Danio rerio: one gene and its partners. The protein of the gene in region 1 purifies or fractionates together with the protein of each later gene. This does not show direct contact. Links are inferred from orthologs where the notes say so. Each region holds a gene or a part of one and is shown in the gene's direction. Other genes may lie near its edges. The genes, in order: ppp6r2a, ankrd28b and ppp6c.

Evidence for each region.
Region 2: the proteins of ppp6r2a (region 1) and ankrd28b purify together in Homo sapiens (co-immunoprecipitation; 4 studies listed by BioGRID and IntAct, counting the BioPlex papers as one, with this or other methods). This does not show direct contact. The link is inferred for Danio rerio from reciprocal best matches to the Homo sapiens genes PPP6R2 and ANKRD28.
Region 3: the proteins of ppp6r2a (region 1) and ppp6c purify together in Homo sapiens (affinity purification with mass spectrometry; 9 studies listed by BioGRID and IntAct, counting the BioPlex papers as one, with this or other methods). This does not show direct contact. The link is inferred for Danio rerio from reciprocal best matches to the Homo sapiens genes PPP6R2 and PPP6C.

What each region holds. Positions count from the first base shown.
Region 1 is NC_133179.1:20,679,937-20,683,595, forward strand, and holds part of ppp6r2a (serine/threonine-protein phosphatase 6 regulatory subunit 2a), read left to right. Parts: intron 1-742; 5' UTR 743-779; coding exon 780-1,006; intron 1,007-2,202; coding exon 2,203-2,389; intron 2,390-2,479; coding exon 2,480-2,617; intron 2,618-3,373; coding exon 3,374-3,439; intron 3,440-3,562; coding exon 3,563-3,659. UniProt on the Homo sapiens protein: Regulatory subunit of protein phosphatase 6 (PP6). May function as a scaffolding PP6 subunit. Involved in the PP6-mediated dephosphorylation of NFKBIE opposing its degradation in response to TNF-alpha.
Region 2 is NC_133191.1:21,497,927-21,501,630, forward strand, and holds the end of ankrd28b (serine/threonine-protein phosphatase 6 regulatory ankyrin repeat subunit A), read left to right. Parts: exon of another isoform or gene 1-479; intron 480-585; exon of another isoform or gene 586-1,541; coding exon 1,542-1,825; 3' UTR 1,826-1,826; exon of another isoform or gene 1,827-1,999; 3' UTR 2,000-3,107; downstream 3,108-3,704. UniProt on the Homo sapiens protein: Regulatory subunit of protein phosphatase 6 (PP6) that may be involved in the recognition of phosphoprotein substrates. Involved in the PP6-mediated dephosphorylation of NFKBIE opposing its degradation in response to TNF-alpha.
Region 3 is NC_133180.1:32,608,429-32,611,383, forward strand, and holds the end of ppp6c (serine/threonine-protein phosphatase 6 catalytic subunit), read left to right. Parts: intron 1-509; coding exon 510-719; intron 720-1,409; coding exon 1,410-1,658; 3' UTR 1,659-2,316; downstream 2,317-2,955.

The sequences.
Region 1 (3,659 bases):
CTTCACAGCACAGGTGATTTCAATCAGTACTTAAAGAAAGTTGCTCTTCATGTTCCTGTTGATTCATGTTTTGTTTTTAGTGGGACGTGTTAGTTGGATGCTTTAAAGGTCTATCAATTATTTTTCTCCCCTTGCTTGTACTTTTATTCTCCAGATTTCCTTTCATCTGTTAGTTCTGCTTTCCATCACAATTCTTCCCCCCTCCCACTCGCTTTGGGAGTGGGAACTTGGTTCCAAACCTGTTAGGCTGAATTCATAGACAGCTGCTTTTTTTAGGGAAGCTTTCTAATCATCATGGATCTTCATAAGGGACTGATTTGAAACACTCTACATCAGTGGTTCTCAACTGAATCAGAGTGCTTTATCTTTTTCAGATAATCTTTAAATTAAAAATACAACACAAATCTAAACCTTTTGTTTTTTTCAATTTTATTTTATTAAGAAAGATAAAATATTAATAACATTTTTCCTCACCCAAATGTGGACAAACGTAAAATGTTTCACATAAACATCTTAAAAGCAGTTGTAAATGGTGCAAACTGATTAAACCATTCTTTATGTCTTTCGATTAGTGAATCAGCCACCTTGAATTGCTCTCCCCGACCCCTTTTTGCAGTCTCATTTTGAGACTGTCTTCTATTGCTAGAGATTTCATTTTAAAAAGATATATATGTCCCTGTGCACTTTGCATTATCCTTCACTTGTATTTGTTATCTTCATTTTCTTTCCTTCTCTTTTTCAGGCTTGTGCTTCCTGCAGCAGCTGCCACCACCGCCATCATGTTCTGGAAGTTTGACCTGAACAACACCTCCCATATTGACCAGCTGCTGGATCGAGAGGGCGTGACTCTGAGAGAGTTGATGGAAGAGGAGGATGTTCTGCAGGAATGCAAAGCACAGAACCGCAAGCTCCTGCTCTTCCTCTCCAAGGATCACTGTATGCAGGAACTTGTCACTCTAATCACTGAGGAACCTCCTGCTGATTTGGAGGAGAAAACTCGCTTCAAGTAAGAAAGAAACTAGTTTGGCTGGCTGTGGACATTACAGATTAGGTTTAACCAATGATATGAGTTTCACGTAAACAGATGGGGAAGTGTGCAGGACACCTGTTGGAAAAGTGCCATTATGATTATTATACATTCAAGTTTAGGGATTCTGTCACGTTTCATTTTCTCTACAAAATTTCATTGGTTAAAAATAATTTAATAACAGGGTGGTGCATTTTTTTTTTCCTTTGACGTTTTGCAGATAATTCACTAATGTTACATCTTGCGTGTTTATTCACTGCAAGCAAACTATAGTCTACCTGGCAGGAAAAACTATCCAGACTGCTACTGAGAATTGCTGAATTATAACGGTAGGACATATTGTTCACTGGAAGCACTGCGTGCTTGGAGCTCCTGGTTACGAGAGGGCTGTAAAATTGACAGGGAAGATGTAGAAGAGCAGAGAAGTGGAGAGGGGAATGTTCAATTGGCAAATGTATGGAAATGGAAATGTCAAAGAGAAATGATTGAGTTAAAAACTGATGTGTAACAACAACTGCATAATGTTCAGACTCTGTGTTTTAAATCAAGAGTTTCTGTGTTTTACTTGTATTGTTCAACATAAAATATGTGAAGTAATCTCATGGCTTGAAATCTCTCTGTTTTAGCACTTTCTGTTGGGACCATATGGTTAGAGTGAGAGAAAAAGATTACGGTTCATTTAAAACTAATCATTTGGTTCTCTGTGTGTAGGAGGCAGAATCATTTGTCTTGAAATGAGCAAGTGGATTCACTCAAAACGTCTTTTCTCTCCAAGTGTTGTGAAATGTTATTTCATTGACTGAAATATCTTCTTGCCAACACTGATTTAGATTTCTCACTTGGTTTTTCTTTTCTTTTCTTTTTTTTGGTCAAATTTACCATTTCCACAATATAAGGCACTGATGCAGAGTTTATAACCCTCTCTTGCGGCATTGACAGCACTGCACCACTGAGTTGGATGGTATTTACTTTAGTGCTTTCTGAGAGACAGAAGATAAGTAGTTCTGCAGAGCAACTTTGTTAAATTTGAGTTGCCTTCATTAGAACCTCAGAAACTGCCTTTGTTTGTTTAGTTAAAAGCCAAGTCACCATAGACTGTTGCATTTGTTTTTGATAGCATTGTCACATGTATCAGTATATAATATAGATTTCTTTCTTTGGTTCTGTTTATCCAGGTTTCCAAACATTGCCTGTGAGCTCCTGACCTCTGATGTGGCTCTTATCAATGATAAGCTGGGTGGAGACGAATCCCTTTTGGAGAAGCTCTACCATTTTCTGGAGCAGGAGCCCCCTCTTAATCCTTTGCTGGCCTCCTTCTTCAGCAAAACCATCGGCAACTTGATTGCACGTAAAACAGACCAGGTACACACACATGAACACACCAAATAGTGCAACAGTAATACTGGGGTTTGTATAATTAGCTTAATACGTTTTCTGCTGATCTGCTTGCAGGTAATCTCTTTCCTAAGGAAAAAACACAACTTTATCAGTCTGGTGCTGAATCACATCGATGCCTCTGCCATGATGGACCTATTGTTGCGCCTCATCAGCTGTGTAGAGCCTGCCCCCTTGAGGATGGAGGTCCTCAATGTAAGCACGCTTAAATTGCAAGATATTAAGGAGAATGAACATATTTCTGCTTTTTTAAGAGACCACTTGCAAGCTTAATTCTTGTGAGCAACAAATATTTATATATGTTATGTATGAGCCATATCACACGAGTAGCAGTGCGATATAGCTGTATATCGGCACTGGTGGGAGGTGTGCGTTGCGCTTAGTGCCCCCACCAGTGCCGATATACAACCATATCACACTTCTGCGAGTGTGATATTGCGTTTTTACAACAGTTTGACGGCATAATTATGTATATAAAAACAAAATCAAACATGGAGAGTCTCAAAAACCCTTTTGTATGAGGAACCACTTTCTTCCGGATTCAAATCATAAGCTGACAGTTAAACAGTTGAGCGTGCATCTTTTAAACTTTAGATCTGTAGTGTCTGCTTTTTGCTGGCTGTATGTGGGCGGAGTAATACACAAAGGGTAAAGAGGCTGTAGGAGTTCTGATATTGCAGAATATCGCACGGCTATCAGCCAATCAGATTTGAGAACCAGACAGAACTGTTGTATAAATGATATTATATTATAAATGTTTATTTTGTTTAAAATATTTTTACATTGACCTTACTTTAAAAATGATACCTTTAAAGAACATCAAGCAATTCAGTTGCTTAAATGAGACATTGACCCACATTGAACCTCATCGTTTCCTCCGAGTTCTGGCTAAATCCCCACTCACATGTCATCTGGGGTGTAACTAATCAGTCAATGAATTTGTGTTTGCAGTGGCTGAATGAAGAGAGACTAATCCAGAGACTCACAGAGCTAATGCACACGGGGAGAGATGAAGAGGTACAAATATCACTCACTCTGCTGAACTTTTTACCACCGGTCCATATGATTTTACTTATGAAAGTTTAAAGAAATAGACCAAGAAAATATATACACATAGTTTTTTACTTTATTGTTGTGCAGAGACAATCTAATGCATCCCAGACTCTTTGTGACATCATCCGACTCAGTAGAGACCAGGCCAATCAGCTGTCAGAGGTCACAGATTCAGACCCATTAC
Region 2 (3,704 bases), on another chromosome or scaffold:
AATGAGTACGATTTTTAACTTTAAAGAAATAGTTTGTTTTTTTTGTTTAATATTAGAGATGCAATGTTTTAGTGTTTCTTGTATATACCTAGATGTTGACTGCATGGACATTACCTATGAAAAATGTATTTTATATTTATTTTGTTAATGCAAGGATGCATTAAATACTGCCAGAAGTGACTATAAAGGCATTAATAGTTACAAAATATTTATGTTTAGGATATTATATTTATAAATTATTCAGTTAAAAATAGCTTTGAAAATAGCTGCACAAGTTAAAACTTTAAATGATTCATAAATGAAAACTTAGGCCCACTTCCAATTCTACCCCTTAGCCCTTCCCCTTACCCAACCTCTCATTTTGCGCATTCACGTCAAGGGGTAGGTGTGTCCCAATTCTCTTTAGCTTGAAGGCCCAGGGGAAGAGGTGATTACACCTTCGAATGAAGATTTTTCAGGAACACACTCTAAACCAAGTGGTTAAAAAATTTCCTCGAATACCCCAGCCACAACGGCATATAGTTACACCCTGACGTAAGATCTACAAATTAGTATAAAACAGACGCTAAAATTAAAACCGCTAAGTTTTGCAATCTATAATCCATAATCATAACTCCTGTTTAGCAGTTCCACAACATTCTGATACTCGATAACACTCAAATACTCTGTCAGAAAAGTCTAGTGGCTGGGAATTGGCTTTTTACGGTGTCTGCTATTATGTTATTGTTAAATGCACATTATTACGGTCTTATTGTCACATTGGATTGTTATGATAACATAATAACTTGCCTTCAGTGATTTCCCGAAGATAAATACCAATAAATAACTCAACTGGAATAACTACAGCAGTTGCCATCGTCTGATCTCATATGAAGCAAGATATTGCGATGACATATGATGACGTGTGCAGGTGCAGGTGCTGTAGTGCTTGCCCAATTCTTAGGAGTACATTTTAAATTTTAGGAGGGGTGCAAAAATAGAATTGGGTCTTAATCTCACAGTGGTCACTCATGTTCAACCCTCCCAAACCGCAGTGTTTAGAGGGAAGGGCAGGTTCAAGTTTTCCTGGGTCGGCGACTCCTATATGACGATGTTTTGTATCTACAATAACATGAAACGGCAAAACACATTTGAAAACAAGATGATTCGTATAAACAACAAGGAGTCAATTTAACATTTCTGGGAATGTGTCTGTTAATTCATTGGTCTGTCTACAAATTAAGGCCAGCATGAACTTAGAACTGTGTTACACACTGCATGGAATATAGTTATAAAAAATCCATAACAGGGGCTCTTTAAGTACAGAAGTTTTTTTTTATTTTTTTTACAAAAATATGAGGCATTATTATTTAACAAACTCTCGTATTACTGTATTATGTTTATTACATGTATTATTTATGCTCACTGTGGTATGTTTATTGTCATATTTTTTGTGTTCACAATTTCAAATTAAAATAGTAAAAATTTGATTGAGAAGAAACATTATTTCTATTTGATTTGACTATTTCATCTGTTCCTATTAATCTTTATTACTCCCTAAGGCTACACTCCGGCCCTGGCTTGCGCTCCTAACAAAGATGTGGCCGATTGCCTGGCGCTCATCCTGGCCACCATGATGCCAGTTTCTCCTGGCGGAGGCTCGGTGCCCACGCTCACATTCAGTGCCATCAACCACTACACCAGCCCCACTAAAAGCGTCACCTTCGACAGCCTACCAATGCTCCGCTCCGAACACAGCTCCTACTGCAGCTTTAACAGCATTGGCCGCCACGACGGCTTCTACAAGGACGAGGAGCTCAACGACTCCGACTCAGAGACTTACTGAGGTAAACAAAAGCAGAGGCGCACATCTTGTCTTAATTACCCAGCGGCCGGCCACTCCGCAGAGCCTTAAGAGTCTCTACACATACACACACACATACACGTGGCGCAGCAGGCTGGCCTTCCTCATCCATCAGCTCAACCTCTGCCAATGCATCTTGCCCTATGTAAATTTTAGGAATAGGTGGACGGACCTCCAGATGTGGCAATAACAAGACAAGGAATCAGCAGCCTGGGGACCAATATTTTTGCACAGGATGGTTTGACACTGTCGTATTGCAAACACGGATTCATATATAATTTTTCAGATCTTGAGGGATAATTTAAATCAGTCGCTTTAAAAAAACAAAACAAAACATAACTGGGACATTTGTGTGCTTTCAAACAGTTTTCAGTCGGTGTGCACTTCTGATCAACTATTGGGGGAAAGAAATGATTTATTTTTTAAACAAACGTGATTTTAATACCTGTCTCTGACCCTCTCGAAGGGGGAAAACAAATCGAGTAGTTTCTAAAGCGCAAAGGTGAAATTTGAGGATATGAACATCAGCGTTGTGTAATGCTTTCGGCCACAAGCATGAGTTTAAAACAAAACAAAAAAAACAGCTAACACCTCTCTCCATCTTCAGTTTTAGGATAAATTATTCTTTTTATCTATGGTATTTATTTTTACTTTCCGCATTTCATCATCATTTTGTGCCTTCATAAATTACTGTATGGAGGGAAGGGGCAGCTCGAGAGAACAAATTCTACAATGCACAAGAAGTTCAACACTACATCTGTGAAAAAAGCACTGAAAATGAAAGGCAAACGGCTCCCAGCATGCTTTGCTCCAGGATGAGGAACACTGTGTAAAAACCAATGGTAGAACAGCATTTGATCTCTTTGTATGTTGATATATGAATATAAATATATATTATATTTTTTCTGGCTCTTATTAACATGACGTTTTTTGAGCAGGTTTGCTCGCTTTGAATTAGCAAATGAAACCACTCGATACTTCTGTGATGGCCTGTCAGAAAAAAACCCCTGTGTTTGTCTCTTTTCATGCTTTTGAGTTTTGGAATGATTGAAACTGGAAACCTGTTCAGTACAGCTTCCCGTCTGAGAGGGGGGCAGCAGAAATCTGTTTGCATCGCTCTTCTTTTATTACCAGTCTTTTTTTGTGGAAATAAAGGAGAGTGATTGGTGCAGTTGATGGCCACTGCTGTCCTTCTATTCGGAACAAGAGATTCCTGTATATTTTATGGTTGATTAAATAAATAAATGAGTTCAGTAATTTGAAATTGTTGTTGTTGTCAAGTCCTTAAGAAAACGGTACAGAACAAAAATGAAATAACCCGTGGTGGAAAGAGTACTGAAAAATCATACTCAAGTAAAAGTACCATTATTTGCCTAAAATGTCGTGCAAGTAGAGTAAAATCATCTGTTGTATAATTACTCAGATTATGAGTAAAAAGTAGACTTTTCAAAAGCACTCAAGAGTAGTGAGTATTATGCTGTAAAAAGCTGATGTGTTTACATGCAAGTTGTACGTGTGTGTGTCTGTGTCTGTGTCTGTGTGTGTGTGTGTGTGTGTGTGTGTGTGTGTGTGTAAATGTAACATTCTTTAGTGCATCGAGTTCTTGCCCAGCAGGCACACAACATCATAAGTCATTAATATTAGGTAAGATTCCAGTTGTGATGTCAGGTGGCCAAAATTCAATGTCTAGTCAGCGTCTAAAGACGTAATTTTGATGTCTAATAATGACGTCAAATGACGTTGATATTTGGTCGATTTTTAGATTGTTAGAAAGTGGCCATAATCTACCGTCAAGTCAACATCTTAAACCAACGTCATATTGACGACAAATACTGACATTTATTCGTCAGGTATGGCAACT
Region 3 (2,955 bases), on another chromosome or scaffold:
ATCCAAACGTACAGTAGCAGCCACTTACTTGACAGCAGGGAAAGGCACAGCCAATCACACTGTGTCTGTATGCTTTTGGGGGAGGTATAGAGCTCAAGTAGAGAACATGATATTACCTAATAGAGAACAACAGACAGTTGGTTCGTTGTAGTTGATTCTATTTTTTTTTTATGAATTAGGTAGCTTCTGTAGCATGTACATACAATGGATTTATTGATTATGAATGTTATTTCAAATGGCTTTTGATACTATGAATCTGAATATTTTTTTATTTTTAAATGGAAAGAACTGTCATTAGTAGTTTATAGAATTAAAAACAAATCAATTGATCTTTTTCAATTGTGTACATAAATTACACAGATTCGGGATATTATTTATTGTTGCAATACATCATTGCAGAACTAGCATAAAATGGTTGCAATATATTCAGTGCTTCAAACTAAAAATCATATCGATTGGCTAGTTTAACTTGTCAATTATCTAATAATTGTTGTTTGTTTCTCCCACAGTTGATAGATGAGCAGATCCTTTGTGTACATGGTGGCCTTTCACCTGACATCAAAACTCTGGACCAGATACGCACCATTGAACGCAATCAGGAGATCCCTCACAAGGGAGCATTTTGTGACCTTGTTTGGTCCGACCCAGAGGACGTGGACACCTGGGCTATCAGTCCAAGAGGAGCTGGCTGGCTGTTTGGTGCTAAGGTCACTAATGAGGTAAAAATCGCTCTCAAAGTGCACAGTCTGCTTTGTTTTTGGCTTTTATAACACTTCCCTATGGAAGATACTATTGCTCTGTAATTACAGATTGAGGTCTGCTAATTATTTGTTGATTCTAGGCATGGGCCTGTATAAGTTTTGCACGGTACGATAAACTTGGATAAAAATACCACTGTTTCACGTTGTTGCGATTACTGCTTTAAAATAAGTTAACTTTAATTTTTTTTTTGCCGTATTAAACACAAAATATTTAATTTTAGTAGACATTTATAATATTTTGGAACACTAAACATGTCAGGCTAAATAATTAAAATGCACCATTGACCTCTGCACTCTTCATATGTTTCAAAAACACAGATTAATTTACAAAACACAAAAAAAAAAACATTTAAAAAAAGCTTGCATATACCTTAGAAATGGTACGACAGTAAATATTAGCGGTTTTAAAATCAAACCATGGTAAACCCTGAAACTGCTTATCATCCCATGCCTTGTCAATTTTCTTTGAACTATGCAGAAACTGAGTTTTTGTGTGGCTCATACTCACTGCCTAAGTAATAAAGATGGAGACTTAGTAGTTGGCATCTGCATGTACATTCTAGTGCACAGTGTCTGAGATTGTAGTAAAAGTAAAAACCTCACTTCATGCATAACCTAAATCTTTTTATTTGTTTTTTTCTGTTAAAGTTTGTTCACATCAACAACTTGAAGCTGATTTGCCGTGCACATCAATTGGTTCATGAGGGCTACAAATTTATGTTTGATGAGAAGCTGGTGACCGTCTGGTCGGCCCCAAACTACTGCTACCGCTGCGGTAACATTGCCTCCATCATGGTCTTCAAAGACGTCAACACACGGGAGCCCAAGTTATTCCGGGCCGTTCCTGACTCAGAAAGAGTCATACCACCGAGAACGACAACACCCTATTTCCTCTGAGGTCTTCATTGTTGCCTATGTCTCGCCCTCTCCTTTTCATGGTTGTCATGAGCTCTTTTATTGTCTTTATTTTCTCTGTGTTGCTTTTTTTTTTTTTTTTAACAAATATTTTTGTAAAGATGGAAGTGCTCTCAATAATAACAACAGAAAACTATGGTTACAGTTCTGAACCCTGTTGAAAATGTTTTAAGTTGGTCGTTATTCGGTCAGTATAATCTTGTTAATGTGAGCGTAATGAAGTGAACATCCCCATGCTGTACTTGCAGGCCTTTTAAATGTAGACCTAAGAGCCGTTGACCATTTAATGACAAGCATTTATAGTGTAACACCTCGCCTGATCAGAACAATGTGGTGTTTGTGTTTTTCAGAGCACAGACCAGAAAGAGAGTCACTAAAACAGCTATGTTCTGGTCAGTTTGCTCCCAATTTCTCCAAGACAAAGACACTTTTGTTTTTCGTAGCTTTCAAGTGTTGAAAAGGGTTGAAGCAATGATTAGACAACAGGACAAAGAAGGCTGTGATTATTTTGTACATTAATATAAATTGTATTGATTTAATCAACTTTTTTTTCTCAGATTTGTTGTATTTTATTATTGTAGAAAACGGCAGCCCATTTACCAATTAAATATTGAGAATAAACGCCTTTATTATTAAGTTACATTTCTGGTGTTGTGTCCTAATCAATCGAAATATTTAATTACACACACAAGTTTAAATGCACTAAAATAACACACCATAGGGAGGCGCGCCTTCCTCCCTTGTCCATCCAACAGGCAGAACCGTGGAAGGCAGTTCTACGCTAGTCCCGCCTCAAAGTGTAAGTTGTATTCAGATTGACACCGCAGCCAACCAATGAAATACCTTGAACGTCACTAACAGACCGGAGGGAATCTGACAAGCACGCTAGTTTGAGCGGGTTGCCACAAAACAGTCAATGAAAATTCAACTGGCCAGACTGAACCGTCGACCGCAGCAGATGCCGAATGGCAGATACTCCCTGCTTTTCCCTGGGAGGGTGATTTGAATGAGTTGGATGTAAATGACGGTGCGCCACCGCACTGGATGTCTAGATTTGTGTCGGGGAGAGATTTACAAGCGCGCGCTACCCGGAGACGCCGTTCTTGAGGAGCTGAAACAGAAGAAGCTGCTCTGAACTACATCAGTCTCAGGTTGGCTCTCAGATCACTGACTTTTTTAGGGGTACTGCACTCAGAGTAATACGCTAGGGGAAAAGGCAAACACTGCCCAAGTTAACAACTGAGATAAGTCAGTCAGACAAACTACCACTTAAAAGATT